2 linked regions of the Pelodiscus sinensis genome follow. The protein of the gene in region 1 interacts with the protein of each later gene in a pairwise test. Links are inferred from orthologs where the notes say so. Each region holds a gene or a part of one and is shown on either strand. Other genes may lie near its edges. The genes, in order: RALBP1 and GPS2.

Region 1 (16,262 bases):
AGCATCCCTTGGATAAAATTCTTAATAGGAAATAATAAAATTGATCTTTAACTTCTGATAACTGAGCTTAACAAAACTGAGGGCCAGACCCTGACATGTTCTCTTGAATCCTGGGGGAGGGAGGTTAAATCGCTGTTCTGTGTGGTGGGTGGATGTTGTTTTTTAAGGCAATTGCCATTTAGTATCCAAATGTGAACTGATAAATTGATTCTGTTAACCTCTTAGGGCAGTTTCCTTTCTTTATCTCCCTTCCCCCTTTCTCCACAAGCTGAAAGATGAATGTGACCACATCTGATCAGCAGTTTTGATCTTTTTTGGTGCACAGAACATAAGACTGGCCATCTAGCCCAGTATCCTATCTTCCAGCAGTGGCCAGTGCCAAATGCTTCAGAGAGTGTAAATGGACCAGAGCAATTTATCGAGTGAACCATCCCATCACCAAGTCTCAGCATCTAGTCAGCAATTTAAGGACAACACCTAAAACATTGGGTTGCATCCCTGACCATCTTGGCTAATTGCCATTGATGGATCTATACTCCCTGAATTTAGATCTCATTTTTTTTAACTCGGTTGTTCTGTTGGCCTTCACAGCATCTCCTGGCAACAAGTTCCACAAGGGTGGCTGTCTTGTCTGGAGAATTATTTCCTTATGTTAATTTTAAACCTCCCGTCTATTAATTTCATGAATGACCCTTGGCTTATGTGTTATGTGAAGAAGTAAATAATACTTTCTTGTTCAGTTTCTTGATATCATTCATGATTTTATAGATCTCTGTAGCATCCCCCTCGGTCATTTATTTTCCTAGCTAAATAGTCCCATTATTTTTAATCTGTCTTCATACAGAAACTATCCCATACCCCTAATCATTTTCATTTCCCTTTTCTGTACTTTTTCCAGTTCCAGTATATCTTTTTTGAAGTGGGGTGTTGAGAACTGCAGAAAGTATTCAAGGTGTTTGCATACCATAGATTTATATATTGGTATTCTGCTATTTTCTGTTATATTATCTATCCACTTCCTAACATTGTTTGCTTTTTTGCCTGCTCCTGCACATTGAGCAGATGTTTTCAGAGAACTATTCACAGTGGCTCCACCGTCTCTTCCTTGTATGGTAACAGTTAATTTAGATCCTACCATTTTGTACACATAGTTTTCCAATGCGAAATTACTTTGTATTTATCAACATTGTATTTAATTTGTCATTTTGTCTCCCCGTTACCCAACTCTGGGAAGATCCCCTTGTAACACTATGCAGTTTGCTTCAGCGTTAACTATCCTGAGTAATTTTTTGTCACCTGTAAACTTTGCTACCTCACTATTTACCCCTTTTTCAGATCATTTATGAGTACGTTGAACAGAACTGGTCCTATTTAGCTCACACCATTCTAAAAACTGTATATTTCTGCCCTAGGTTTCCTATCTTTTAACTAGTTACTGATCCACAAGGGGACTTTCCCTTTTATACCTCGACACCTTACTTTGCTGAAGAGCCTCCCTAAAGTGTGAAAGGTAAATAATTTGGCTTTGCATACAGAAACCTTGTCTACACTACAGGTTACATCAGTCTAACTTGTCATGCACAGGTGTGAATAATCCACACCTCTGAGCAACCTAAGTTTATGCTGATCAAAGTGTCACTATAGATAGCGCTATGTCAGCAGCAGAGCTTGTCCCATTGGTGTTGTTACTGCCTCTCTCAGAGGCAGGAGTTAGGAAACTGATGGAAGAGTTCTCTTCTTTTAACTTAGAGCCCCTTCTTCAACAGCGCTAAAGCAGCTGCCACTGTAAGTGCGGTAGTATAGAGACAGCCTGCGTTACCTCTTAATTTTAGTGTTCAAGTTTACCAGTGGTTGTCTCCTTGGATTCCCCCTGCAATATTGAGATGCATGCTGCAAAGATATACTACATTTTTCTCCTCTGTCAGCCTCTTTCTCTTTTATTACTGTGGTGTTGGTAACAACTCCGTAGCTGGATGGTGCATTGAGCTTTCCGGTTCAAAGAGGACTACAATCTATGATTTATACTTTAATGCTAGAATACAGTCTTCAAATTTACCACGATAACTCTTCATGGGACTAGATTTTCTGTAACTCTTTCAAAAAACCTGCTTCCTTGGAGACTGGACTGGCTTCTCTGGAACTGGTCTAGCCTGTCAGTTCAGCATGTATATAAAATCTTCCATTAAAGGGTTTTCATGATTCCTAAACAACTGCCTTTCCTGAAATAGTGTTAAAGCTGGCAGTAAAGGGAATGAACACAGCATTCTTACTTTATACAGCTGTGCTTTTCTTAGTCTCTAAACACACCATTTCCAAGACTCCAACCTGCAGTTGTACTTCTGAGGCTCAGCAGTAGCAGCAAGATTGAATTCCAGAGTGAAGACTTGCCATTTTAGATACCCTACCCCAGATCTTAAGAGTTCTCTCTTGGAGACAGCCAACAGTAAATGTAATGAGGTGTAGGGTGTGAGTTTATTTCTGAGATAACTGGGAGCCACAGGTAGAAATTGATATAGTGAATTTCACATAAAGGTGAACTGGAATCTAGTGCAGTGTAATATGTTTTCACCCCATCTCCTTAGAAATGGGGAAAAATTCATTCTGCATTAGTTAGCCAATGGCATGACTATGGGCTTTCATTGGGGATTCATGCAGGCCCTTGTCATTCTTGGGAGTTGTGTGTTCTGGGGAACATCATCTAAGAATAGGGATCAATATAAGCAATCATCTAAAACAACTCCAAAGGCTAGTGAAGAAGCCTTAGTTTTCTCCTGTTGCCACCTGTATTGTAGCCTTGTTTGACAAAAAAAATTGCTTGTAATATTAAACCAACAGTCTGTCTTTCACATTAGGATTTTCTTCTAAAGGAATGTGTGGGAATTGATTGGTTAGGAAATACATTGTAGGACAATACCTCTATGCTCATGAACACTAATTAGAGTGTTTACAACACTCCCTTTTGTATTTTCCACTGAATAGAGAAACACAAATTCCTGTGGGGGGACCCTTACATTACCACAGAAAGTTGCACAAAGAATCCATTATGTAAAGATCAAGGAATACTGAATCTCAAGTGAATAAATGAAGCAGGTGGCAAACTGCCACAGTATTAATGTGTCCAATAGCTCTACGATCATGCTTGAAGGCTGTGAAAATGAGTCAAGAGTGCTACTTACTGAAATAAATTCCCTTGTTGATTAGAATCCTGAAGAGAGATTCCAGATATGCAGGTATTTAACATACCCAGAAACTCTCATTTAAAAAGAGGAAGAGTACAAAATGTATTTAGGGGACACACAAACAAAGTAGCCATTGAGATGGAAGATGCATTTCCTGGCACCAATCACGTACTCAACCAGCAGACAAATTATTTCTCTATTCTTCTAACAAGGACAAAGACAAACCAAACAAAAAAAAAAACAAACAAACAAAAAAAGGGTTCCTTGGCAAAAGCAAAAGTCAAAATATATTTGTTGCATTTTCCATGCTACCAACATTTTTTAGGCATATATAACATGACTTAGTCTAATTGAATTATGGCAAATGCTAGGGTTGTTTTTTTTAATTTAAAAATAAATCTGTTCAGAAGAGCAGATGTGCTGCTGAGTGGCTAGGTGCAGGCCTGTTTAGTTTGTGTCACATTACAATTTCTCTTTCTGCCTAAGAACTGTTGTTTTCTCCAGCTTTGCTTTGTTAGGAATTGACTCATGGATAGGCACTTGGCTGGGCAGAGTTATTAATAGGGATGTGAATGTTTAACTGGTTAACCAGTAAGCATCACCCTTAATGAGTTGTGGCTAACTGGTAACTGGTGGGACTGGAGCAGCTTCCCACCTCTTGCAGGCAAGGGGCTGCTCCAGTCCCACATGGGCATGCTGCGGACAGGGGATGGTCTCATCTGGATCAGCCCCTGTCTGGGTCGGGTCCAGGTGCCCTGCAGACAGGGGCTGCACTAGTGTCTGGAACAGCCTCTGTCCACAGCGAGCCCAGGCAACTGTGGACAGGGGCTGTTCTGGCAGGGGATTGGAACCAGTGGCTATTCCCAGCATGGGGCTGTGAGCGTGGGGCTGAGGGCTGCTGCAGCTAGGCTGGAGCGGTCCCGACCCAGATCCTGCTTTGTTGGTTAACTGAGTAAATGTTAAGTTGACCTAACGTTTAACCAATTAACTGATTAACTGGGATTTTGCTTCCGTACGTAATAAAGGTGAAAATTCTCTGCAATGTCATCCTTAACAGAGAACCACCCAGCTGCAAGAGGTTCTCATCGTGCCCACTACTGTGCTAGCAGGAGGAGGAAGTGAGACCCACAGTATTTCTCTTTCTGTGGGCAACACGGACAACACATTATTTCAAAGTGCAATTTTCTAGCAGATAAGCTCCTCGAATTGCACTGTATAATGTTGTTAAGAGAATGGAAGAGGTCCACTGCACAAAGATGAACACACTTGCATGAGTCCTAGGATGGCAATTATTGCAGAGCTATCGAAATGGTTGATGCACAGACTAACAATGTGATGGTTGTTGTGGCTGATAGTGTTGAAAGATCCCATCTGCTTTTCGAGGAACACTGAGAACTTTAGCGAATTAAAAGTACAGTGACCTCCCCACCCATTGATTCTCTAAACTATGAGGAAGATGCGGAGAATGTGGTGGACTTTCCTCTCCAAGTAAGATCAGGCAGGGAGAAAGAACTGTGTTACCTTGCCCCAGCATGAGGAAAGTTTTTATACTTCAGAAGAGGGGCAGGCAAAAGATACCAGTTGCTGCTCTCAAACGCCTCTCCTTGTCAGCAGAAAGAAGAGGTTTTGGCACTTGTATCAGAAGGAATCTATATGTGCAGTGAACCAAAGAGGGACTTGGCACTGTGTATATGAAATGCCTATCACTGGAAACTGAAAAGCCTAAGATTTTTTCTCTTGGGTATCAGCCATAATACCCACATTTACTTCTGCTATATGAAAACAGAACAAAACATCACATTTCCATTTATTTACAGATCACAAACATTTATTATAAGCTTTTTTAAGACCTGCAATATTGTCTCATTAAGTAATTATTTCTTACTGTACAATTAATTACTGCACTAAATAATGCCATTTGCAAGGGAAAAATAGTATCCAACAAAGGTATGTGTGTGTGTGGGGGGGGGGGGGGGGGAGGAGAACATAGTACTGTTTTGGATATTTCCAAAGTGCCTGTCCAGTAATGGAAGAACCATCTGGCTCTGTTCAATCAATCAAAAACACAGATTCTACTAACTCACAAGTAAGGTCTACCTATTACATTAGAAAGGATGTACAACTCACTGGAATATGGAATTACTAATGTTTTGAACAGAACCTTGGTTAGCTAAGGCTCTGCAGTATGTTAACATTTCATATGTATTGTACTACATAGAAGTGGGGTATCAATTCTACTGTTAAGATTAATTAACTTTCCAGTGTAATCTTAACTTCAGACCTTCCTGCCTTTGAGACATGTATGCATGCAGAAATAATTTTAAAGGCCTGGTTTCTAGTCAAAGGGGAATTTTTGGCAAAGCTGAAGAATTGGACAAGAAGTTTTTGTGACATGAAATGCTAAAAAAAAAATGAGGAATTTCACTTTCTGAACAGTCTGCTAATTTTAATTTTCTAAATCCCAAACTCAAAATAATCCAAAATGATTCTTCTTTTAACCTTAAAAGGGCTTAATTACATCTGGCTCATAGGATTATATCTGCTACAGTCTGGGGCTTGCTTTAAAGATTTTTTTCACTAAGGGCCTTTGAACACTGTGTCTTGAAAACTTGTGAAATTTGCCATTGGTCTGCAAAGACTGCAAGATGCCTGGTTGTACAGGAGGCTGCAAGTTTTGCTAGCAAACTCATTCACCTTCACGAAGGCTAAAAACTCCACTGGTAAGACCTGTTGTGGGTCTCTTTTCACTTATAATTAAATTACAACAACAGAACATATGAACTACTTACAGCAAGATTTCAATTATTACTGGGCCAATTCATTCCACCCTGCACTCAGATCCTATTGGGGTCCGACCCTCCCCCAGACTACTGGGAGGATCCAAAGAGCCCTGGACATCAAGTGATTCCAGGAGACAAAGAAAAAGAAAACAGGGATGGGTGTGAGAGTCAAAGGGCTAAAACAAGGGAACTGAATAGGAACACCGAGCAGAGAACCTCGGACAGCGCCCACTGCCCCTCGAAGGTCTCGAAAGAGCCAGCAGACGCTGCCCAGTGGATTTCTGCCCAGATGTGTGAACAGATGCAGGAGTGGAAATAGGCCCCAGTAACAGGCCCCTCCCTCAATCAGCCTCTGCTCCCTGGTTTTATAAATTGCCATCTTGGTGATAGCCAGGAGGAGGTTGATGAGGAGGTCCCATGACTTTATGGGGCCATGGATGGGGTGTGTGTAAATTAATAGGTATGAGGGGAAGTGCAGCCAAAACCTCAAAAAGAGGTTCTGGAGGAGCCAAAAGAGGGGCTGTAACCTAGCGCACTCAAGCTAAATGTTCACCAGGGCCTCCCTATCACCGCAGAAGGGGCAAATGTCAGGAACGGGTGAACCGTGCCAAGTACACCCCCATGCTCACAGTGCCATGGAAGATTCTCCAACTGATGTCCCCGGCGGGCCATGGAACCAAGGAGGAATAGAGACTGGCCCACCGGGGCTATGCACTTAAATGCAAGCAAGATAGGGCCCTCTAGGAGAGAAAGGTCTATGACAATATCACTTTGTGGAGACTCTCCTATGTTCCCAGATTACCCACCCAATGATATTTCCTCATTCCTTAGAAAAAAAGGACCTACTCTCAACCTGATCCTTCTAGCCGACCACCCACAATCTTTCATATGGATTCTGATCACAGTTTATATGGGGGGGGGGGGCAGGTAGGGAGAGGGGCTTAGATGCATCCAGAAAGACAAACCTTATCTAGAACAAGGATCACATGATGGGGGCAGAGAAGAGGGGATTATACCTATGTAGATGGGAGGGGAATGCAAGGATGGATGACAGGTACTCTTATTTCTCATGCCTGCCCTCTGTGCTTCTGTTATTCACTTCCAAGTCTTCCTCCCATTTCAGCTCTGGGCCCTGCACTCTTTAGCTCAGCCCCTCTCAAGCTGATCTGGAGTGCTGGCCTCTTCCCATTGTTCCTGGGGGATGTCAGTCTTAGGATCCTGATTTCTCATAGAGCCATCCCCTTCCTTTTGATACTGGAAACTAGCCAACCAAAACCCTCACTGAGTTTTGAAAAGAAGCCAGCATAGACTCACAGAATCATAGGGTAGGAAGAGCCCTTGGGAGGTCTTGGAGTCCCTCCCCCCTGCCCAAAGCAGAATCAATCCCAACTAAATCATTCCAGCCGGTCCCGCCCAGTCCCCTTACACCATACACCTCTGGATGCAGCTGGCACCAGCTCTGCCTGAGCACTGTGCCCAGAGGAAGGCCTGGTGGGATGGCCGGGGGGTAACAGAGCGAAGGGCAGGTGGAGCCTGTGGGCAGGACCTGAGCTGAGAGCACCCAGGCAGGTCACCCAACCTCCTCCTGTAGGGGTGTGAGGTTTATAACTGTTCCCCAGAGGAGCCGCTCCTCCCCCCACCGGCCTCCAGCCCCATCCTAGCCCTGTCTCCAGGGGCTTCACCTCCCCTCCGCTTACCCCTTTTTGTGACTTTCTAACCCCCGCTAAAAAGTAGTCAGCAGAAAGTGAGGACATGGCGAAGGGCAGTGGCTTCAGCAGCGTTACCGAGCATGCTCAGTGCAGCCTAAGTAGCACATTCCTACAGGGCGCCGCTAGATGTTACACACCTGACTCTGCTTCAAGGGCTGGAACTACTATTCCCAGCATGCCCCGCGCGGGCTTCTCCCACCGACTGGGAGGAGACATAACTGCCTCCAGCCGTGCGCACGCGTACTCACCGACCACGCGCCTGCGCAAAGCCCTCTCCTCGCCACGCTTGCGAGAGGCATGCGCGTTTCCATCCCGCTGCTTGCCGCGGCCGTTGCTCCGCGTCTGCGCAGTCCGCTCTTTGCCCTCCCCTGGGGCAGAGGGAAGCTGGGGGAGGCGCATGCGCATTGACAGGCTCGCGGCATTCACGAATCCGTACCCGTCCTTGTAAACGGGCGGCGGAGGCGGAATGGGGCGCGAGGCGGGGCGCGCGTGAGGCCGAGGCGGAGCCGAGCCGCCCTGCAGGCAAGTGGAAATCCAGGGTCAGTGCTGGGGTCGCGTCGGCTGGGCGGGGTCATCGCCCCCATTTCCCAGGAGTGACTTCCGGCCTGGGGGGGTTAGAGTGCGGCCCTCGGGGGTGGGGGGCACCGCCAGGGACCCCTCCCCCCCGCTTCGGGGACCTCCTCCTCGCCCTCCCAGGAGAGGCGTTTGCACCAGGGGCCATCGCCACCTCCTCCAGGCTGCTGCCGCCCCGGGGGCTGTGGCGGAGCCCCGTGTCCCGGCGCAGCCGGGCAGTGACATGGGCCGTGTGTTACAGCCTCTCTCATCGCCCCAGCCCGGTGCCCTCGGGGGTGGGGGGGGGGGGAGCGCGCCTAGCTTTGCACCTGCTACTCTCTCCCAGGGGTGAGTATCGTACTTCCCAGTGGCGGGTGCCAACTCCCTGCACCCCTCCTACACCCACATGGGTGTGTGCTGTGAAACACGCATGAGAGTCTGTGCTGCTCATAGGGCACCAAAGGGGGAGGACTGTCCTGGTTTTTAAGTGCTACTGGCCTGCTGGTTGGTTTTTTTTTTTCCCCCATCCACTTACCCTTTATTTCCTTGAAGTTGGAATTCTCTCATAATTGAGACAAAGCTGCGATCAACCTCTTTACGTTGTACATGGTGTGCTTGGAAAGTACCTAACAGGCCGTGCACACAATATCAGACGTTGACAGTAATTTGTTGTTACAGCTGTGCATGGTTTCTGTATGGTAGTCCCTGTTCCTAAGTGTTTGTTTTCTGTTAAAGGCAAATACAATGAAAGGGGCAACAGAACACAGCAGGAAAGTACATTAGGCCAAAGAACATCTTATTCTGGAAGTACTGAGATTTGTGGTTATTCTGAGGCGTTTTTACAAGTCATGGGTAACATAAAGAACACTGCCTTCTGTACTAATCTTCCTCTTTTTTAGGAGGGAGAGGGGTTGTCAAATTCCATTGCTGTAATAGAGCAGAGTGGTCTTGTTCACAGAGAAAGTGATAAACAATCATATGTAGCACTTAAATGCTCTTGATCCACTTCAGACAATATACACATACATACAGCATCACTAAAATGCATATGCCAAGAAGCTTGAAGATGGCAGTCAGGTGGCATGTAGTATGGTTCAGAATAACGGGAGGGGAAATTATTAGGGCAATGGAGGTCAATCTCTACTCTCCCAAAATTTTATGGGTTCTTAATAATCATATAGATGTGGATGTAGCCTTTATTGTAAACTTTTGTAATGTTTGACTTCTGGTATAGTAATAAGATGTATTTGTAGTGCTTAGGAGCCAGAGTTATAAATCAGCCCTTCATTGTGCTAGGTACTGTACAATCACAACAAAAAGAACACTGCCTTCTGTACTAATCAGCCTCAGAGTTTTTGCTTTAGGAGTCTTAGAGATTGAGACAACAGATGGATATAGACAGAAGGGGGACAAGTAAATAATGAGACAGCATTGGTCAGCATGTTTGGCAGTAGTGTGTGCACTACTGAGCATTATCATGTTTTCTCTAGGCATCACAGCAAAAGCAGAGTTTTGAGAAGGGATTTGAAGGTGGATATTTTGCAGATGTTTAGAGATTGGCTTCCCAGTGTTTGGGGCAGCATGAGAGAAATAGTATTCTGGAAAAAACACGTACTTCAGATATTTGGGTCCAAAAGTATGACAATATAGTGTGGATATGGGTTCAGGTTCCAGTTCTGCAACAGGCTTCCTGTGTTGCATGAGCAAGTAACTTAATCTTTTTCTGCCACAGTTCCCCATCTGTAAAATGGGAATAATAAAACCTCCTTTCTCCTACCATTTTACTTGTCTGTTTAGATTGTAAGATTATTGAGTTTGGCTTGCTCTACATGCAATTTTTGTATTTGTAAAACTTTCAGTTAGGGATATATAATTTTTTTATACAAATGCTTAAATTATGTCCCCACTTTTCATAGTATAAAGAGGCCTTTTAGCATTATAATTTATTCCCTTTCATGTATAAAAATAGCTAAACTTGTGTAAAATACTTTTTATATTGAATTAATTGGGTCTACGCTAGATGGGTTAGACTGCTCTAACTATACCAACATAGTTAAAGCTCCTCAACTTTTATATGCAGAGTATGTTTATGCTGCATCTAGCACATTGTGATTCTGATATTAGTTGGAGCTTATAGACACTAATCTAATACAACTCTAATTTTTACAAGTTTGTTGTTTTTTAAAGTTTATCCACTCTTATGTAAGCAGGCTGGACACCTGCTAACACTCTTTATGCAAAGCAGGAACTTGTAAAAATTAGAGTTGTATTTTTGTACTCTTTTTGTGTAAAGAGGAAATGTCACTACGCATTTTTGCGGTTACCTTTATTTGTTTTTATCTGGGTCATCCCCTAGAAATCAAAGTAATATTTTGGTATTGTAGGTACACTACACTGAATATTCTCATGTGTATTTGGACTTGTTTAGGTTATTGCACAATGATCACTTCCTGCTTTGCATCAAGAGTTTTAGCAGGCAGCCCAGCTCATGCTGGGTGCAAGACCAAACCCTGCTGCAGCTCTTCAATTTAAAAGGCAGTAGGAGCTGGGCAGTCTGTCCCTGGCTCCTACTGTGTTTTATATTGCAGAACCGCAGCGGGGTTTGGTCCCACACCCAGTGCGAGCCAGGTCTGAACTGGGCTCCCTGCGTGTGCCAATTCCTGCAGAGCTGCCTGCCCCTGGTGCTGGTGTTCCATGGAGCCACCAAATTCCCCAATCCCTCTGCTGCTGCCTCTAATAAAGAGGCAGCAGCATGTAATATAAAGGTGGTTTGTGGGAGCTGGCACATGCGGGAAGCTGGCTTTCTGTGGAGCTGCCTGACCTTTTTCCCACTCTCCCAGTGTGCTAGCTCTCTATCAGAAGCAATAGCATGGGGGTAGGGAGGCAAGTGGGATGCTGGGCAGCCTCTGTCCACGGGGAGTTCAGGTCCCCCTGCTGCTGCCTCTGTATCAGAAGCAGTAGCCCAGGGCAGCAGGTGGGAGCCGGTCTGCTCGGGGAGCCAATTTTTAAACTGGCTCCCCTCGCAGACTGGTTCCTCCTGCCATCCTGTGCTGTTGCATCTGATATAGAAGCAGCAAAGTAGTGTGGCAGGGAGCTCCCCAGGAGTGATGCCTCCAGGGAGAGCATTTTAGTAACTGTGTAAATGCTAAAAATTGTTGCAGCTACACAATTACTAAAATAAACAATATCTAACATCCCTACTTCATATTTTGTTCAAAAGTTAGTCTGAGGAAGTTGTGGAGTGTGTTTAATTGATTAGGTTTTATTGATAGGGTTAAAATATATGCAGTGGGAGAAGAAATGGTCCATTTAAAAAATGGTAAAGTGAGAGAGAATATTTTAGAAATCCAGTGGATTACTTGAATCTAATGACTTTTGCTTTTCTTGTTCATTAGGTGTGTTAACTTTTATAAATTCTTTTATAAATTCTATACAGTGTGCTTCATATTGTTGCTAGTCTCCTTCAAAGTAATATCAACTGAGAATTCTTTCACAAGAAGCAAGTGGCTCGGTTCTTAAAATGATTAATTCTGAAATCTGGCAGTTTAATGCTCTCAATTCACGTAGCAACTCAAAGACTTATTGGTCGTAGGGTTTATATGGCTTATTTTCAGAACATTCTTGAGATGGCTTTACAAAGTTGTTGAGGAAATGAAATACGATTTGAGGGATGAAAGTTAGGAATGGACAGCTGGGTGGACTTAACTGCGAGCCTCGATGGTTAATGTAACTCTTGAACTGAATCTTGAATTCAAATCCTAGTTGGTCATATAGAAGAACGAATTTGATGACTCACCATAGTTGCTAGGAATGTGGTAACATTTGTGGTCTGTTCATAAAGTAACCTAGAAATGGAATAGCAGGGCCATTTGCAGGTCACAAATGAGGTACATTGTTATACCCATCCTGTGCTCTGATTTTAACTAGTGCTTTTTAAATTTTTAGTGTTCTTTAAAGTAAAAGATTAATGTTAAAAATGATTTCAGTTCAGACTTCAGACGCATCTACAGTATAGTTAAACATATGACATACATTTTTGTATCATAACTGCTAGTGGTGTAATTCTGTGTTTTTTGTTTTTTGTGGGTTTTTTTGTTTTTTTGTTTTTTGTTTTTAATTAATAATTAGGCCAGTATAAATGTGCATTTTACCAAGATAGATTTTTCTCCTTTTCCATATGGGAATAAACTATACTAATTTAAGCATCTTTATACCAATACAACTGTTCATGCTGAGAGATCGTGCCATCTGCTTTCGCTATACTGGTATAGTTACAGTGGTACAGCTTTTGGGTGTGGACAAGACCAGTGCTGTTGATACTAATAAGCTATATTCTTTCACTTATAAAATAGCCCATAACCCAGGTTCAATCAGTTTAATAATCAAAGATAAATCAGCACAATATAGAGACTATACATTACCAATCTCTGGGAAATAATCCTGCAGCAGCTTGTCAAAGAATTATTATAGAAACTGTTTTATAGCCTGCTTGTTTACGGCAGAGGGAAAGTCCAAAAATTCAACTGTATTAGCACAACACTTTCCTACTTTCTCTTATGTAGTTCCATAAATTTGCAAAACAGAGATGTCTGTACCAACATGACCAGAACAGTAAGTGGCAGATGGTGCATTTCTCACAAGCATCAGCAGAACATACATCTTATTTTCTTACAGATTCTGTACATGCAGACAACAACACTACATGTACAAAAACAGAAATTGCAACAGTTTTGTTACTAGTAGTTTACCATAGTAAGATTAACAAGAATACAGTTAATAGTTCTGCATCTTAGATTATATGATACTTTATTTGTTCAGTATTAGCACTTTCTTATTTTAGTTGCACAGCACATCTTATTCTGTCAGATTTGTCGTTACAGCTGTAAAACAATTTACAGTAGACTTCCGATAATCCAGAACCTTTGGGATCTAGGTGGTGCCGGGTTATCGGATATGCCAGACTATCAGGAGATACTATAAATTGGTGATATACATATATAAAGTGTTTTTAACCCTTTTTATTGTAGCACAAACACTGTCCATAGTCACACAATGCCAGTGGCAGACTGACTCGGTTCCATCTGGTTTCGCTCGGTTCAGCTGCTGCCGCTGCTGCCTTGTGATTCGTTTTTTGCCTCTTGTCATTTTGATGCTGGACTGTCGGGAGTACCGTACCGTGGATGCCGGACTATTGGAGTTTTACTATTCAGTAATTCCTCACTTAACACGTTTTTGCAATAGCACGGTTTTTTTTTTTTTTTTTTTTTTTTTTTTAGGGAACATTTTTCGAACAACACAAGGCTTTCCCTGCCTCCCTGTGTCCAGCGAGGAGGGGTCGCCTGGGAACAGCGTGGCCAGCTGCAAACTTCTGCTGCTTTGCAAGGAGGCAGGGGAAGCCCCGCGCAGCTGCCGGCGACTGGCCAGCTGGGGAAACCCAGCCACTAGCTGCAAGCCCCCTTCCCTGTCCTCCCCTTTCCTTCCCCAGAGCCAAACACTTCCCCTCCCTGCTGTAACCCAGTCCCCTTTCTCCCCCAACCTCATGTCCCAGTCCCAACAGACACTACCGCTTGAAACGCAACCCCCACTTTTTCCATTATTTTCAATGGGAAAATTTACCCCACATAACACATTTTCACTTAACACGAACATTTTCTGAAACGTATCTACAGTGTTAAATGAGGAATCACTGTACATGTTTTGGCTAATACAATTGTTTGTAAGAACTGATTTCACACTCTTAATTCAGTTCCATTCTTTATATGATGAAACTACCACTTCATGCATGAACTCTATAGTTTCTCAGACTGTAGTTTTCCACTTAATCTGTGATCTAGTCATACAGTATTGTGGGACTGTGTTTCAGTTTGGTAATCACCAGAATTGCACAAATAAAAGAGAGTGGTTGAGGCATGGGACTGGGAATCAGAAACGCACGAGTCCAGCACTGGCTCAGACACTGATTCTGAGTAGGGCTGTGGGCAAGTCATGTAACTTCAGTATCTGAAGGGTTTGGGATATGTGTGTGTGGGAGGGGGGGGGGGGCTTGGTTCATTCCACACCCCCTGTAAAATGGAGACAGTTACCTAATTCACAAGGGTGTTGTGAGGAGTCAATATATACATGGGATTTTGAAGATATAAAGTGTCCCTGAGAGAGTTTCCAGTCCCCTTTGTCTTCACTGGTATTAAATGAATACACCTACTGGAATGACATAATAATGTCACTTCACCTTCATTCCAGATACAATCACCTGATAACAAGACATATGTATTAGGGATGTTAAATTGTGTTTAGTCGATAATCAGGGGAAATTGCAGAGCCACAGTGGGGTTAGCTCCTTCCTTGCACTCAGTCCCAGACACTGCGCCTCTGCTTTTTTAAAATGTATTAAGAGCTCATATCTGGTCCTTCCTGCTGCTCTGCCTTTTAAATGTATTAAGAGCCAGCTGGCTAAGAGCAGCAGGGAGGACCAGATATGAGCTCTTAATACATTTTAAAAAAGCAGAGGCGCAGTGTCTGGGACTGAGTGCAAGCCAGGAATCAGCTGATTCCTGGCTTGTGTCCAGTCCCCCACTACGTCTATGCCTCACCTGCCCTCTGTGGAGATGACGCTGGACGGAACTGGCTTTTCTGATAGAAGCAGCAAGGGGATGGGGAGCGACTAGTTGTTATATCCCTAATGTATATTTGAATATAGTATGTTTTAACAAATAACTTCAGTTTTTAAAGCAGTCTTCATTCAGGCAATGAAAGTGGTTTTATTAATCTATTTGAGAATGTGTTCATTTGTCCATTTGTGTTTGTCTGTTTGTTCAAATCTCCTCCTAAATGGTAAGAGCTCATGCCATCAAATTCGGTATACAAGTTCCTCTTATAATAACTTAAAGCAAGTAAGGGTTTGTTGAGCCAGGAAAATGGGATATGCCTTGCATAGGATTGCTTCTTATAAAACCATACAGGAAAGAGTCAGAATCACCAGGTAGGTCACAGGCTGGCTGAGGGCATACTTCCCTACCCTCATCCAGGATTTCCCCAGCCCTGAGCTTCCCATCCCCCATGCATCCTTTAGGGATGGGGAAAGGGGACTGAAGCGTCCGTCCCCCTCCCTCCCCCGATTCATACGGTATCATTGCTGGCTGTTCTCCTTCATCAGGGAGCAAGGGGAACACACATTCCTTAGTCTGGCTGAGGAGCACAGGGGACAGACAAACCTGGATCTGCCCCAGCTGGGGGACATGGTCCCCTCCCCTGGCTATGCTAGCTGCAGCGGACATGGAGAGGTGCTTCTCACCTGACCCCAAGCTGCTGCAGTGAGAGAGGGCTGGGGTTGTCCTCTCTCCCTGGGGCAGCTCCCATACTGAACCCCTAATCCTCAACCCCACCCCAGAGCAATGATTCAAATGAAGCATGTACATTTTTATTTTATTTGCTTTAAAAAAAAAAATTGAGTTAAGGACTTGAGCAATGCCAGGTAAAGTCTTCTAGTTAAGCCATATAAGAAAAATGTTACTTGTCTAGTCTTTGTGCAAGTCGCTTTTTGATGGGCAAGTAAAATATCATAGCAGGGGTGGATGACTAGATTTTATGTCTGGGCTTGTATGTTGTCCTTGAATGCTTTGTAAGGCTTAATTAATTAAGCCTTGCAACATCCATGCTCCGTAAGTATTAACATTTTATATTAATCATAATTAATGATATATCGTGCATGACAGATGTGAGACATTGGAAGCATGAAAACATCAAAACAGTATTGTATTGGATGTGGCAGACATTATAGGCATTGGGATTAGTGATAGCATTTTGTATCTTTTATTTGCACTGTTAGTCCCAGGATACTAGAGACACACGGGGCTCGTCTACACTGGCCCCTTTTCCGAAAGGGGCATGCTAATTTCACAGGTCGTTATAGGGAAATCCGCGGGGGATTTAAATATCCCCCGCGGCATTTAAATAAAAATGTCCGCCGCTTTTTTCCGGCTTTTAGAAAAGCCGGAAAAGAACGTCTACACTGGCCCCGATCCTCCGGAAAAAAGCCCTTTTCC
Region 2 (16,249 bases), on another chromosome or scaffold:
TGGACCTGTCACTAACCCAGGCACTCCTAATGGTAGGTGGGAAACCGTGTCGGGGTGAAGCACTGTGTGGACGACACCATGCACATCCTGGTTGATGGCGAGGACATGGGGCCTGCTGCTACCGGCGTGGCCAAGGTAATGCCCACAGCCCCTTGCTTGGGCCTCATCCCTGCAGCTGCGTTGGGGGGGCAGAGCCCACATGAGACAAGGATATAGGCAGAGCCTTGCCCCTTCCTGAGCCTCAAAGGTAGCTCCGTGGGAGGGTGTTTGTGACGTCATGGGTGCAGGGCAGCTTCTTCCTGTCTCAGAGAGGTTGTGATGTGGTGTCATGGGAGGATAGGGCCTGCCTCTTCCTGTCTGAGGGACGCATGCTGTGATGTCACAGGAAGCCACTGTGCCATAGGAGACAGCTCCAGGGGCATTTCCCATGGCTTCACTGGGACAGGACATCTGAGAAACCTATTGGGGGACCAGAACTAGCGCCGTGATCAAAATGAGGGATTTCTCCTAGCCCGAGTGCAGAGAAGGGCTGGCAGTGATGAAGATGGGCTGGGTTGGCCAAGAGGGGAAGGGGTTGCTCCCCACAAATACTGGGGCGGGGGTCAAGCTGTTCAAGTGGGGCGGGGGGGAATCCAACCCAAAACTGAACAGAGAGAAACTTGAGGGAGGTTGCAAGTGAGGCCCTACTAATCAGAGAGAAGGTTGGAACCCAGCCACCTGTTCCCCCCCAGAGCTAGGGAGAAAACCCAGGAGTGCTGGGTCCCAGCCCTCCTTCCCACTCTGACCCACCAGGCGCCCCCACCCTCCGTCCCGTTCTATGTCCTCAGAACGTCTACGTGGTGCTGGATTTGTATGGCCGCGTCACTGCCGTCTCCATTGTCAGCTCCACGGTGCTGGAGGAGTCAGATGGCACCAAGCCACCCTCAGTCACCTCCGAGACATGCAGTGAGGAAGAAGAGGAGGAAGAGCCCGCACCTGTGAGTGCTGGAGGATGGGAAATGTTTTCCTTTGGTGGGTGTCAGCTCCCATCTGGCCCCAGTGTGGGGGCTGCCTGGAGCGGCAGGGAAGAGAATGAGGTACATGGACTGTCTCCTCTAGGGGTGGGGGTGTTGGAGAATGACTCCTCTTCCCTCTGCTACAGTGTGAGCATGAGGCCCCCGTGCCGCTGGCTGCCATGGAGTTCCTGGAGAACCACGGCAAGAACATCCTTCTATCCAATAGCAACCTGACGGCCACCCGTGTGGCCAGTTACAACCAGGGCATCGTGGTCATCGCTCAGCCCTTGCCCCCAGGCCAGCTCTTCCAGGTAGGCTCCTTCCTCTTGGGGGAGTATGTGATATTGTGTGGTGGAAAGGCATAGTGTCTCCTACCTCATGTTTTGGGAAGATGTGATGTTGTGAGCTGGCAGGAAGCACAGTGGCCCCCCCTTCCTCATAACATCACATCCCCACAAATCAGGGTGGTGGGCAAAAGGGCCTGCTGCTTCTTGTCAGGGAAGGATATGATCTAATTTGGGGGAGGGCAGAGGACTCTTCTGCTGTTGTGGTAGGCGCCGCTGCTGTCAGGCTAGGGATAGATGTCATAGCAGTATAAATGTCTAACCCTTGTAACTGTTGTCAGGGTTGGTATCAGTCACTGCCCTGTGGGAGGTGGGTGTTAGTGGTGTCAGACATTATTTCCAAGCTTTCCCACTTGTCTTCCTTCCCAGGTTCAGATCAACTTCCTGAACCCCCAGTGGACATCGTCTCTGTCCCTGGGCGTCATCGGCACCTCACCTGAGCGCCTCAATTTCCCTGCCACAGCCTGCTCCCTCAAGCGCTCTGCCTGGCTACTGCAGCGTGACTCTGTCTTCCATAACTCACTCAAGGTGGGGCAGTTCCTAGAACTTGTGTCCTCTAAGGGGTGCCAGCTCCCATCCGGCTTCAGAGTGGGGACTGGCTGACTCAGGAGGATGGGAACAGGGTAGGGGGCTTATCCCCTCTAGGGGGCCCTGGCTCCCACCGGGCAGGGACTGGCTGGTCTGGGAGATGGGGAAGGGGCGCTGTTGGACTTCTACAGTGGGGGGGGGGGGGATTTCTGGAGCTCACCATGGACCCTGTGCCCATCACCCCCAGATCTGTGAAAACTATGGGCCCAACTTGGACACGTGCCCTGAGGGGACAGTGCTGGGGCTCCTGCTGGACTTGAGCAGCTGCTTGCACCTCTATGTCAACGGGATGGACCAGGGGGTGGCTGCCCAGGACATCCCCACACCCTGCTACATGCTTGTCGACCTCTATGGGCAGTGCGAGCAGGTGAGCCCCACTCCCAGCAGGGCGGAACCCAGAGCGTGCCCCCCTCCCGCTCTAACCACTAGCTCCCACTCCCCTCCCAGAGTTGGGGAGAGAACCCAGGCATCTTGGCTCCCAGCCCCGTGTGGTAATCCACCAGCTCTCGCTTGGCACTCTCTTTCCTGAGCCTGGATTGAACCAGGTGTGCTGGCTCCCAGCTCCCCCCAACCAATGCATTTGTGGCCCCCAGGTTACCATAGTAACAAATGATACTCCAGCTCTGGGAGGGGAGAGCACAGATCTGCATAGCCAGGGGGACATGGAGAAAGCCGACATGGTGGATGGTAAGTGATGGAACTGCTCCGCTCTTTGATGGGTTAGAGGGGGATCTGCCCGGGTGGATGGGTGGGATCCGGGGCTAGGCCCTCCCTACTTGGGCTGTCTACATTACAGAGTTTTTCCAGAAAAACAGCTGTTTAAAAAAAAAAAAAAAAAAACCTTCATTTACATCCACACTGCAATCGCATCCTTTGGAAAAAAATATCAAAAGGAGAGGGGGTTTTTCCGACATTGGTAAACCTCTTTCTACAAGAAAGAAGCCTTTTTCTGCAAGAGCTCTTTCGGGAAAAAGGCGTGTGTAGATGGGGAAGAGGGCATTCTTTCAAGAGAAGAGAAAAGAGGAAAAGCACCAGTGCCCTGATGGCCATTCGTCCATAGCAATCTCAGCTTACATGCAAAATAGTGTCCATTCAGTGTGGACACTATCGGTCAAAAAAGCAGATTGCCAAAGCGCATCGAAAAAGCAATGTGGACGCTGTCTTTCAGAAGAAGTTTTTTTGGAAGATGTCTTCCAGAAAAGCTTCTGAAAGAAGCTTGCAGTCTAGACGTAGCCTCTGTCTCTAGGACAGTGCTTCCCAACCGTTTTGAACATACAGACTCCTTTCTAATCTATTAACATTTCACAGGCCCCCCTCTCTGAGGGAGGAGAAAAAGCAAAATAAGGATCAGGCCCCCTATGGTGGGTCCAAGCCTTATTTTTAAACTTTCCACAGACCCCCTGCAGTGCCATCGCGGACTACCAAGGGTACTACTGTTCTAGTACATGTGGGAAGGGACTGGCTGGTTGGCTACCCCTCCCTTTCTGTTGCAGGCATTAAGGAAAGTGTGTGTTGGACTCCACCCGTGGACATGAACACTATGAAGACCTGTGAGTACCACGCGCTTTGTGCCCGCTTCAAGGATCTCCTGCTGCTTCCAGGTAAGTTGGGACCCTCTCCCTTGGCCCCAGGGGCCTTCTAAATCTGCTTCAGAGTGAACCACATTGGTGACTGAAATGGACTGTTGCCATCAGTAGGGTTCATTCAGCATTAACACTCGATGCCTCAGGCTTTCTTTAGACTCATGCAGCATTGCTGCCTCAGTTAAATTCCTCCCCCCATGCCTGACTCCCATCCCCTTCTTTCCCAGATGACTACTTCGCAGAAGATCCCAAATTCAGCCTCTGCTACTGTGAGTCGTGCCACAAGCTGCGGGGCGATGAGGCCTATTATAAACGGGGGGAGCCCCCCCGGGACTATGCCCTGCCTTTTGGTTGGTGTCGCTTCAACCTCAGGTATCAGCCTGGAGAGAGGGGGATCTGGTTCACTATTGTTGGGAGGGGGAGGCTGGGAAGAGGGGCTCTTGCTGGGATTGGACTGGAATGGGGAGGGGGGGACACTGGCTCTGACACCCTCCCACCTCGGCAGGGTAAACCCCCAGCTGGAGGTCGCCAGCACCTGTAAGAAGTGGCACATGGCTTATCACGGCACAAGTGTCGGTGCTGTCCGGAGGATGCTGGACCAAGGGGAACTGGGGGCAGGTAGGAGGGACCCAGCACAGAGCACATTATGCCCTGCCCAGACCAGGGGATGGAACTTATGCATCCTAGCTCCCAGCCCATGCCCCCCCCCACCTCCCGCCCACTCTGACCCACCAACTACCACTCCCTTCCCAGAGCAGGGGAGAGAACCCAAGAGTCCTGGTTCCCAGCTGCACCCTACTCCTCTTCCAGAGGGTCACATGCATGAAGCATGACCAGTCCCATTATGGGGTTCCAGGACCCAAACTCCTACTGGGGAGGGAGCAGTGCTTAAAGATGGGGCCTGCGCTTAGGGATGGGGCCTGGCTCACGGCTGTCCCCTGTCCCAGGCAGTGCGTCCATCCTGAGCTGCCGGCCTGCCAAGGTGGACCCCCAGGGTGGAGGATACCATGAGGCAGAGAACAGTTCCCCAGGCCATGGGGCTGAGCCCCAGTGCATCCTGCTTTCGCCCACCCTGCGCTACGCTGGCCTGGAGGCCTTCGCCACCAAAGTGCAGTGAGTGCCACCAGCCATCAGGGAGCAGCGGGGCTAGGGAGGAGGAAAGCAGTGAGTCCAGCCTGCCACTCTAGTGGGGTTGGCAGGGGTGGGGGGGGAATGACAGTGAGTCTTGCCAGCCACTGGGGAGCATTTGGGCTAGGGGAGAGGAAAGCAATGAGTCTCATCTGCCACTCAGGACTAGTGGGGCTAAGGGGGACAGTGAGTCCTGCCTGCCACTGGGGAGCAGTGGGCCTCGGGTGGAGCAGTGAGTCTCAGTTGCTGCAGGAGGGAGCAAGACACTTGAGAGCAGTGAGTCTTGGCCCCGGTTAAGGGAAGCTAGCAGGGGTGAGGGAGGGAGATCAGAGTCCCACCTCTAGAGGCCAGTGGGTGTAAGGGAGGAGCAGAGAGTCCCAGTTGCCACTGGCGGGGGATAGTGGGACTAGAAATAGTCTGTGAATCTTTGACCCACTGTGTCTCCTCTTCTCCCTGCAGATTCCGGGACCCCAAGTCACAGCGGCAACATGGGGCACAGGTGGCCTTCCAAGTGTGTGTGCGCCCTGGCTCCTACAAGCCAGGCCCCCCATCAGCTGGTGCCCCTGAGCCCCCGGACCCTCGTTTCAGCATGGCTGAGATAGAGTGGGTCACCAAGGAGAAAGGCGCCACCGTGCTCTATGGCCTGCTTGTGCGTGTGGAGTGACCCTCCCCACAGCCAGCCAGGGGGAAATCTACCACCACCCTCCAATGGACCGTAACCCCCCCCAGTGGCTGGAGGCATGGGGAGCAGCAGATCTGCAGCGCACATCTTTCTCCCACCCTGGACCAGCAGGGGGCACTGGATGCTGGGAGGGGCTTTCAGCAGTATGACCCCCTCCATCCCGATTCCAGAAGGAAGATTGGTTTTTTGGGGGGTTGTCTCTCTGCAGCATGCTCTCCCTGTGCTCAGCTGGGGATAATCACCAGAGGAACTTGCCTTTCTTGGGTAGGGGGGGTTATCTTCAGTGTGTATCACCCCCACACACACGTCTGCACTCTTCCACCCCCCCTATGGCCTAGCCTAAGGGGGGAGAATTTGGACAAGATACAGAGTCTGACACTGTTTTAAATCTGGGGGGAAGCCCCTCCCCCCATACACACAGCTCCCTCTGGTGCCCAGAGCTGTATTTTGCACATAGAAAAAGCTAAGAGGGGGCAGACTTGGGGGGGACTTACAGCATGGTGGGAGATTTTGGGGGGGGGAATATATTGCACCACAAAAGACTTAATTTCTTAGGGAGGACCTACCTCTGTGGGGGAGATCTCTACCCTTCCACACTTAAATAGCTTAGGGAGAGTAAGTACCCCTGGCACAGATTGCTATGATGGGGAGTCACCTTCCATGGCTGGGGGGCCCTGATCTTGCCTCCCAAGGGGGGGACTCTCATTCGGAGGGAAAGTTTCCCAATGAATATTTCAAGGAAGTGCTAGATTCAGTTATTGGGGTGTGGGAGAGTTGGAGTAGCCGGGGGGAGTTGGGGGAATTTGTTCTTTTAACTCCCTCTTTGTTCCCCCGTTTGGCAAGCCCCCTGCTTTGAGGAGGAGGGATGTTGAATTGTAGCACTTAGTGGTGGTTCTAGCCTGCCCCCTCTCTGGCTTGGGGGAGGGAGGCAGGGGACTCCCTGTTTTTTCCACACCATAGTGGAGGGGAAAGGTTGGCCAGGTTACCTTGCCTCCATCCCCCTCCCACCTTCTGCAACCACTGTCCTACACCCCTTTCCTGTGCAGTAAGCACTGCTCCTGTGGTGCCAGTAGCCCCCAAAATCAGCCCTACTGTCCCCTCACCCAACCATCCCTCCTTATTTATTACCTATTGGTGTTGTTGAAATGTGAATTTCCTCGTGGGGGAACCTTGGGGGGGCAGGTTTAGCACTCCTTCCCCACCTGTTACTTTTTTAAAAGTTTTATTTAAGCTGCTTTTCCATTGTAAGGTTGGGGGGAGGTGAAGTTGCATTATGGGGTGGAATGGAGGGTTCTTAGAGCCCCCTAATTGATAAACCACCATTCAGCCACCTCAGCTGTGTCTGTGTTTGTGTCACCAGAAAGGGGGGAGACTGTTAAACTAGGCTGGTTACACATATCTGGTACCATGACTTAAAATTGCCTTTTTCTGGTGCAGACCAGGGTTAAGTGACTATACAGATTTGTTTTGCACAAAAAAGCCCCGATTGTGAAAATGGCGATCGGGGCTTTTTTGCACAAAAGTGCGCCTAGATTGGCACGGACGCTTTTCTGCAAAAAGTGCTTTTGCAGAAAAGCATCTGTGCCAATCTAGATGCTCTTTTCCGCAAATGCTTCTAACGGAAAACTTTTCCGTTAAAAGCATTTGCGGAAAATCATTCCAGTCTAGACATAGCCCACATGTTCGAGGAAGAGTCACATTCTCTAATAACCATGGGATGAGTACTGCTCCCTCCTACAACTTCCCCCTAGATTGCTCATGATTTGGAAGGGAGCAGATCAGTGGCCGGTGTATGGGGCCTGTGCTGTGCCACACAGCTCACTGTGCCAGGTATACCCCTAACCTCCCCAACAACTTTGCTAACACAAATGTAAAGGGCTATAATTCCAGCACTCTTTCCTACAGCCCCACCACAGCTGCCCAGCACCCCACCCAGGACTTACCTCACTCTCTGATTTCCCAGTACAGGTTCTCCTCGCTACCTGATGCCTTTCCCCATAGTCCTGCCACCACACTGTCCTGTACTGCGTTCTCCCCTCCCCCCCCCATCATCACACCACCTGGACACTCCCATCCTGTCCTCTCACCAGCCCTGCTGGGTGATCTCTGAATCCTATGGTCAGAGTGGGGGGCAGGTGCTGTCTCCCAATGCTGCACCAGCCACACTGGTGAACTCAGCAGTTCCCGTACGCTAGGCACACTGCCAATGGGAGCTGCAGGGAAAGGGCTTGCAGGCACAAACAGAGCCCCCTGACCTTGATGGACCAGATAGGAGTTGGGGGTGAAGCCACTTCCAGGAAGTGGCCAGCAGGTTGCTCTGGCTCTCTGCCTGCAGACCCCATCCCCACAGTTTCCATGGGCTGTGGCAGAGCAAAGGTGTAGATATCGGGTGCCTAGGGGCTGCAGGCTGCTCCTCCAAGCAGAGCCCCATAGGCACAAGACTCAGTTTCTAGACTAGGGGTCACCAACCAGTCAATCAGGATCTATCAGAAGATCTTGGAGCCTCTGACAGGTGATCCTGACTGGTTTGGCTGGAAGGTTCTCAAGTGCCTGCATGTCAGTTGCCCTTCCCCCACTGCTCCTGCCTAAAGCCTCAGAGCTGTCCCCTGGGAGCCTTCTGCATGTAGTGTGGGGTGGGGAAGACAAGAAGCAGGGAGGTGCTGATGTTGCTCTGTCCCCTTCCCTTGTATCCCAACTTCACAGAGGAGGGTGGGGCCTCATCAAAGGGGCGGGCTGGGGGTATTTGTGTTAGAGGCAGATCCTAGACTGACAAATTCAAAAAGTGATCTGCTTAAAAAGGTTGGAGACCACTGTTCTAGATCAATAACAAAACAGCAGGGTGCTGGTCACCCGAGCACACACCCCCAGCACCCAGTTGGAGTGGGAGGCCCCCCGCTGTCCCTTTCTCCTCCCGGGCGGGGGCCAGCTATGCTGCCTCTGCCCACACAGGCGCATGCCCTGGGCTCGGCCGAAATCCCACTCCTGCCACCAGCGGGCGGGGCCAGCCTCATTCTGATGCACGGCCAAGCGGCAGAGCCTGGTCTCGCTGGGAAATGAGAGAGGGCGGGGCCATCTGACGTAAGGGCAAGGGCGAGGCCGGATCCCGTTCTCACGCGCGCACAGAGGGCGGGATAAGCTGACACGAGAGGAGCGGCCGGGTCGCCGCAGGCGCGCGCCCCGGAAGCGGAAGTGTACGGCTGGGGCCGGTGCCCGAGCGCGGAGCGAAGATGCCGGCGCTGCTGGAGCGGCCTAAGCTTTCCTCGGCCATGGCGCGCGCCCTCCACCGCCACGTCATGGTGGAGCGCGAGCGCAAGCGGCAGGGTGAGCCTCGTTCGCGTGCTCCGCGTCACGCGCCCCTGCCCTCCTCGTGTCTCACGTCACCTGTCCAATGACCCCTCTCCGTCTGGCCACACCCCTCAGCGGCTCTAGCCCCGCCTCCACCTGTTGTCCCCACCTCACCGTGGCCCTTCCCCCTGGAAACCCCCCACCCCCTGGAACACTCCACGTCCCCCCTCCCGCCGCATCCCTCCACCACACCACCCTGGGGTTCCCCCACCGACCCCAGGCCTCCCCATATTCTCCTCCCCCACTGCACCCCCTGGGTCCCTCCATATCCCCCTCCCTCCACCCCATCACACACACACTCCCTGGCTCCCCCATATTCCCCTCCCTCCACTGCACTGTCCCTTGGTCCCCCTGCCCGCACTGCTCCTTCCATCACACTGCCTCTTGGGAACCTCCCCAAGCCTCTGTCCTACTGCTCCTCAAGGACACCCCCTCGCACTCTCCTGTGCTGGAGGAGGGCACAGTGCCTTATAGGGTGTGGCCAAGAACCTCTCCTGGCTTCCTGAGTCCCCAGTGCTAGCCCCATCTCTCCGGAGGCGGATTTCAAGGGGCCCAATACCAGGGGTGGAGGGTGACCCTCAGACACCCCCTCCTTTTGTTCCCTGTTTCTTAGACATCCCCTGAAAAACAGGCCTGAGCCCCCTCTCCCCTGCTCTTCCTTTCTCCCTCCGTCCTCACATCAGGGGCACCTCACAGATCAGAGCCCTAGAGGTCAGGGTCACCAGCCACTTCCTGCTGCTCTGCTCTAGCCTCCCCTATAGCTGGGCCCCAGTCTCCCCAACAGCTAGGGTGACACCTCCACACTGCAGCCCTTGGCAGAGGAAAGGGGGGACTAAGGATGAGAGCGTGGGAGAGGGTGGCACTGCGGGACCAACCCAGCAGCACCCCAGCTGCTCTGCCCCCGGCTTCCCCAAGTCAGCCGCTGCTGAAACTGACCAGCGGCTGACTTGGGGAGGCCACGGGCAGAGCAGCTCCAATTGTCCGGCTGGCCAGAGCACTTCCAGGTTCCGGTTGGTGCCAGACTATCAGGAGTGCCGGACCACTGGATGCCGGACAATTGGAGTTTTACTGTACATTGTTAAAGGTGTGGATGAGCTTGTCATTAGTGTTCCCTGTAAGCTGGGTGCTTGGGCAGCCACTCAGGAAAGATTTGAATGCCACCCAGTTTTAGAAGAGTGCTCATAGCCTTAAGCTGATTCTGCTGAATCGGGCCCTGCACCCGAGAGGGCTCTACACCCGGAAGTCGGCTGCTCCCCCTTGCCTGCGCACGCTGCCAGCTGCTGCTGCCATGCGCGTGTGTTTGCACGTGGACGGAGTGACACCCGGGCGTGATGTGACGTCGTCACGGCCCGGGATTTTTAAAACTGAAAAGTGCAGGTGGCTCGGACTCGGAGTCTGGCCCCGCATTGTAGAAGGCAGAAGGTAAGGTGGGGGAGGGGGGAGAGGCGCAGTCAGCTCTCAGCCACCTGCAGCCCGGGGAGCGGTGACTCACCCTGAGCACATGGAGCCGGGGTGCAAAGCAGCGTTGTGGGGCGCAGTCAAAGCAGGTGGGGTCGCGCTTCCCCCACGGGGCCCCAAGCAGCTTGCAGAGGCAGGCCTGGCCCAGCCCGGCCCCTGGCTGCCGTCTCTTACCTGAGGGGCTCCAGCACCAGGCTCTGCAGGCTGAGGCCACGTGCGGAACCGGCCGCTAGCACGGCCACCACCTGTGGCAGCTTGAGCAGTGGCAGCATGCTCCAGCGTCCGGTTGGCCAGGCCAGCGCCAGCTGCGCCTCCTTCGCGCGTGCTGCCCGATCCGGCGCAGCCCATCTCTTCCGCTGGCAGCCGCGGGGCCAGCCCTAGCTTGGTTGGGTGGGGAGGTGGATTGTGCAAAAACGGGAGCGCTGAGGGGTGGGGGACACTGGCGGTGGGGAGCCTTGGTTCCCAGCCTGACGGATGTGATGGGGGGGGCAGAGGCATAGCGAAGGGGGTGCAGGGAGGGGCAGTTGCCCCAGGGCGCCACGCTAGGGGGGCGCCGGGCTGGGGTGAGAGCAAGCGCACGCTGTGCAGGCTCACCTGCCATGGGCGGCAAGTTATATGGCCGTCCCCCCAGCCCCGAGCCATCCCTGCTGTGCGCAGCATTCAGTCGGCTTCGCCTTGCCTGCGCACACTATGCAGCATTTCCAGGTGACCGGGGAGACGCCTGGGCGTGACGTGATGTCACGTCATGGCCCAGGACTTTAAAAGTGTTTGGTGCTGCGTGGTGCTGGCCTACCTTCCAGTTCGGAGTCCGGGGACTTTTGGGGTCTGAGCACAGACTCCGGCCCCCAAGTGGAAGGCAGAAGGTACGGCAGGGCAGGGGGAGAGGAAGACGTCTTGTGCGGAGGTGGAGGGGAGAGGGAAGATACAAATTCCAGGGGGCCAAGTGCAGACAATGAGGAAAAGGGCAGGAGGGGAGGTGTCAGTGTGAGGAGGGACAGGGTGATGCTGGGAGAGGAGAGGAGAGGGGAGGGGAAGGGCATTAGGGTCTGGAGGGGGGGAGGGGGAGGTGCTGGGAGAAGGCTTGAAAGGAGGGGTGGCCATGAGAAAGGTGGGGATGGAGCAAGCCATGTGTGAGGGCACAGGGGCATGAGGGGAATGGGGCAGAGAGTGGTGAGGGGGCGGGCATCAGGAAAAAAGGGGGCAGGGGCAGTGAGGGAAGAGGATTCCTGCTGATCTTATCCTAAGGCTTTCAGTTATCCAAGGGATTGTAGGTTGCAGGCATCCACTGCTGTCTCCTATTCTGTAAAGTATACCCCTTTTGTGTATGGGACCTTTCTATCTTTTTTCTGAGATAGATAGGTGGGTTCGTTGCAGTTGCTTGTTGTCGTGTAACTTAAACTTTCAAATACATGGTTTGGCCCTAAACCTTCTCTGGCCTGATTTGTGATTCTCAGACCAGCTGTGATAGATGGGTAACACCAGGTTGAATTTGGCTTCTGTTGGGGGATAGGTTTTGATTAATTGCTTAGGCTCCACAGCAATTGCTTACCTAAGTCGTCTTTTTTTGTGTTTTGGGTTTTTTTGCTCAACAAAAAAATCCTGGGGGGCCCCGCACTTCCTAAAGTTGGCCCTGCTCATAGCTAGGTTTATGTTTCCACGAGTGGTACCCATTGGTACATGGTTTGGTGCACATAGCAAAATGTATTCTTTCATTCATGTGCAGAAGTCCATGCATGGATGGAAAAGATTAATGGAAACATTACTTGTCGTGTGTGATTTTTGTGAAACACGAGCACTTAATACAGAATAGGTGCCCAAGGGCTGTGTTTATAAGCCTGAACCTCCAAAGTTAGGTGTTCCCCCTCCCCCCAGCTTGCTCTTCAGATGGGGCCTTTGATGCAAAGTTTTACTAGAGTTTTGGGGGTTCACCATATTTACTTTTTAATGTAACTGAGGCAGAAGTTTGCAGTCTATAGTCCATCAACCCCTTTGGGGGGCGGGCACAGCCCAGGTCTGTAATTTCCAAAGGGTTCCATGCTGGCATTAGAAATTTTTGAGGGGTCCACCAATGGAAAAGTGTGGCAAACCCACTGTTTGAAGGGATTAGGAGAAGCTGAGGCTTGTCTTTTAACTCAGGGTTCTTTAAAACCTGGTGAGGATTTAAGGCAAGAAAGCAAAGCTGTCCTTAACATGTTGTCCGCCCAGCAGCCCCACTGGTAGTTAGTTTCTCCAACTGGCTCTCAAAACTAATTACATTCCTCCTCATGCCCTCCAACTCCTACAGAGTCAGTGCTGCAGGGTTCCTTCCCACCCGCAACATTGGCCCCAATATGTTCACAGCCAGGTCTTCCCCACAAACACCTGGTTTGTTCTTGTGGCTGAGATGAAGGCCAGCCCTCAGTTTCACAGTCCCTCACTGATGCTGAGGTTCCAGTCCCTGGATCTCTTTTCTAGGGGACAGATGGGCTGTCCTCAGCTTGCACTATTTCCATATTTCTAGCCTATTTTTTTGGGGGGGGAGGTTGTCCTGACCCTAGCTGTGTATCTGCAGAGGAGGAGGAAGTGGATAAGATGATGGAACAGAAGATGAGGGAAGAGCAGGAACGGCGCCGCAAGAAGGAGATGGAGGAGCGCATGTCTCTAGAGGAGACCAAAGAACAAGTGAGTGTGGTGGCGTGGGTCTCCTATCCTCCAGCTCCATGGGGTGGGGGGTTATGAGCCAGGCTAGGGATTGAGGGGTCTGGGGCTCCCCCTAGATCACAGCCCACTTCCTCCAGTGCCTGGTCTCTGGGCCCTGTTCTCAGGGAGAGGCTGCCTCCTCCCAGAATCCCAGTGCTGGGTGTCTGGGCCCTGTCCCCTCATCTCACACTGACCCTCTTCTCCTCCCCTCCCTCGCCCCCCCACAGATCAGTAAGCTGGGGGAAAGGCTGCAGGCCCTACAGGAGGAGAAGCATCAGCTTTTCCTACAGCTGAAGAAGGTGCTGCATGAAGAGGAGAAGCGCCGGCGCAAGGAGCAGAGGTGAGGGGGGAGGATGTGTGGGGCAGGGTCCTGTCCTGGTTCAGGTGTGTGGGAGAGGGTATTGTTCTGGCGGAAGGCGTAGAGGGTTTCTGTCTTGCTATAGGGAGGCATCAGAGATGACTTGGTGGGAGGGTGGAAAGCTACAATTCTCTTAAGATGGGGAACTCCCTGATGAAGTGACTTTGTGAGCTGCAGAATGCAGTGTTGCGTTGCTGCTAGATTTGATGGGACTGACTGGGGAACAGTGGAAAAGGCAGGGGAGCCATGCCAGCCTCTCTTCTCTCTTGCCCTGTAGCGATTTGACGACTCTGACAGCTGCAGCCTACCAGCAGGGCATGGCCGTGCACGCCGGGGCCCACATCCTCAACATGCAGGGTACGGGCCTGGGGGACAATAGGGAGGGCATGGGGAAGGATGCGGAGAGTATGGGGGTAAAAGGCAGTTGGGAGGGGTGGGGAAGGATGGGGAAGTCTGGGGGAGGACCATTGCAGGTGGGGTTACCTGGGGTAGGCAAAGGCTGGCAGCAGCGCCTGGAGAGGGGGACCATGCCCAGGAACACCCCACCATTCACCCCAGTCTCTCTTCAGGAAGCCCCGGAGGGCACAGCCGGGCTGGAACGCTGATCTCAGCCGACAGGACAAAGCAGATCTTTGCACCCCCTGTGATCACAGTGAGTGTTAAGGTGGGTGGGTCACATCCCCTCTGGGGTCACTGCAGAGCTGCTGACCTCTCCCCCTTGTGTCCAGCAGACGCGGCACTTCACCACCCAGCCGGCCTTCGCACCCGGCACCCCGGAGCATGGGCAGTACCAGAGCGGGCAGGCTGGGCACAGCCCCTATGCTGTGGGGCAGGGCCAGCACTTTGCCCCAGGCCAAGCCGTGCCTGTCAGCTATGCCAGCAGCCAGCCCATCCGTGGTGAGTCAAAGCCTGGAGTGGGGACCAGCTTAATTGGAGTGGTTCCAGGGCACAGGGAGCTGGGGGGACGAAGGGAGGTGGTGGCACTGGGTTGGGACAGAGCTCTAACCCTCACTTTCTGCCCCACAGGCCCCTCAGCCTTCCCTGCCATGCAGTACCTGTCACAGCAGCCGCCAGGCTACGCACTGCATGGGCACTTCCCTCCTGCTCAGCCAGGTGAGACCCCCTCATAACTCCTCCCTGTCTGACTCTCCCCCCCACCCCACCTGGCTAGATGAGACCCTCTTATGCCCTACCTGATTACCTAGGACAGACCCCCTGATGCCTTCTCCCATCCCAGCTGGGCAAACCCTCATAGAACATTAGAACTGGAAGGGACCTCAACAGTTCAAGTCCAGTCCCCTGCCCTCATGGCAGAACCAAGCACCATCTAGATCAGGGTTACTCAACATGCGGCCCACAGCCTGTGGTACGGTTTGGATTTACGCGGGGCTCAACACACAGCCCATGGGTGGTAGCCAAAAAAAAAGTAGTCAATATCTTCTGTTGATATGTATTTTAGCAGTTAAATTCCTGGACTGTCATTGCTCATTAAAAGTGCTGTCATATGGGTGGAAATTGGGTAAATACTGTATTTTATTAATATCAGCAAAACTGACTTAAGAGGCCGGTATATTGTGTAGTCTTGCCTTAACCTTTGTATTCATGCCCGTCAATGTGAAAGAAGCTATTTGCATGTATATGCAACCACACTTAAGTTGCAACCCTCAGCATGTGCTGAGAGTATTGTGGCTCCTGGGCTTCCAAAATTGAGTAGCCATGATCGAGATTAGCCCTGATAGATGTCTGTTCAACCTGCTCTTAAATATCTCCTGTGATGGAGATTCCAGAACCTCCCTAGACAATTTATTCCAGTGTTTAATCACCCTGACAAGAAGCTTTTCCTAATGTCTAGCCTAAACCTCCCTTGCTGCACTTTAAGCCCTTTGCTTCTTGTCGTATCCTCAGAGGCCAAAGAGAACAACTTTTCTCCCTCGTCCTTGTAACACTTTTCAGTACTGTTATGTCTTCTCTTTTCCAAACTAAACAAGCCCACTTATTTCAGTCTTGCCTCATAGGTCATGTTTTCTAGATCTTTAACCCTCTTCTCTAGACCATCTCACATTTCTCAACATTTTTCTTGAAATGTGCCCAGAATTGGACACAATTACTCCAGTTGAGGCCTAATCAGTGCAGAGTAGAGCAGAAGAATTACTTCTCATGTCTTGCTCACAACATGCCTGTTAATACATCCCAGAATGTTTCTTTTTTTGCAACAGTTCACCCATATTTAGCTTGCCGTCCACCGTGACCCCTTTCTGCAGTATCCTTGCTAGAGGGTCATTTCTCATTTTGTATTTGTGCAACTGATTATTTCTTCCTAAGTGGAGTATTTTGCATTTGTCCTGGTAACTTTATTTACCTCAGCCTGTTTCTCCAGATCACTTTGAATTCTGACCCTATCCTTCAAAGCACTTGCAACCCTTCCCAACTTGGTATCATCTGCAAACTTATTAAGCGTATTCTCTATGCCATCATCTAAATCACTGATGAAGATATTGAACAGAACCAGACCCAAAACTGACCCCGAGGAACCCCACTTGTTATACCTTCCAGCATGACTGTGATCCCTTCTGACACCTTTTCCCTGTTCACCCTGTGTTCACCCCCTCCACCCTAGTCCCTTCCCTATCCCAGCTGGGTGAGACCCATTTGTCTGCTAAGTCTGGCATGTGACTAAACCCTGCCCCAAACTCCCTTCTGGTGCCCAGCCCCCCAACACTGAGCCATGAGCCCCCCTTCCTTTCTTTGTCAGGTTTCATCCCCTCCAGCACAACCATCCCTCTACAGAAGCAGCTGGAACATGCCAACCAGCAGTCAGGTTTCACCGACTCGGTGAGTCCTCTGGGGCTTGTCCTCACTTAGGGTGTTCCAGTTTCCATCTAGCCCCAGCACAATGACTGGCTGGTTTCAGTGGGGGTGGGGATGGGTCCTGTCCCCTCTAGTGGGTGCCAACTCCCATCCAGCCCCCGGGCAGGGACTGGTTGGATCATGGGGTCTGGCCTCTAGTGCTCTGCTTCTGTCTTCGCAGTCGACCCTGCGCCCAATGCACCCCCAGGCCATGCACCCTAACCAGACCCTGCTGCCCACCC

The links.
Region 2: the proteins of RALBP1 (region 1) and GPS2 interact in binary tests that used the Homo sapiens proteins (3 or more experiments, as listed by UniProt). The two-hybrid records come from large-scale screens. The link is inferred for Pelodiscus sinensis from reciprocal best matches to the Homo sapiens genes RALBP1 and GPS2.

What each region holds. Positions count from the first base shown.
Region 1 is NC_134712.1:85,225,426-85,241,687, forward strand, and holds the start of RALBP1 (ralA-binding protein 1), read left to right. Parts: upstream 1-8,033; 5' UTR 8,034-8,190; exon of another isoform or gene 8,191-8,207; intron 8,208-16,262. UniProt on the Homo sapiens protein: Multifunctional protein that functions as a downstream effector of RALA and RALB. As a GTPase-activating protein/GAP can inactivate CDC42 and RAC1 by stimulating their GTPase activity.
Region 2 is NC_134734.1:9,783,074-9,799,322, reverse strand, and holds the start of GPS2 (G protein pathway suppressor 2), read left to right. Parts: upstream 1-8,404; 5' UTR 8,405-8,547; coding exon 8,548-8,641; intron 8,642-12,644; coding exon 12,645-12,784; intron 12,785-13,029; coding exon 13,030-13,142; intron 13,143-13,437; coding exon 13,438-13,517; intron 13,518-13,729; coding exon 13,730-13,812; intron 13,813-13,888; coding exon 13,889-14,057; intron 14,058-14,186; coding exon 14,187-14,273; intron 14,274-15,912; coding exon 15,913-15,992; intron 15,993-16,188; coding exon 16,189-16,249. Other genes in the region: NEURL4 (neuralized-like protein 4), read left to right, coding at 37-135, 828-977, 1,142-1,306, 1,709-1,867, 2,115-2,294, 2,521-2,614, 3,421-3,528, 3,738-3,882 and 3 more. UniProt on the Homo sapiens protein: Key regulator of inflammation, lipid metabolism and mitochondrion homeostasis that acts by inhibiting the activity of the ubiquitin-conjugating enzyme UBE2N/Ubc13, thereby inhibiting 'Lys-63'-linked ubiquitination.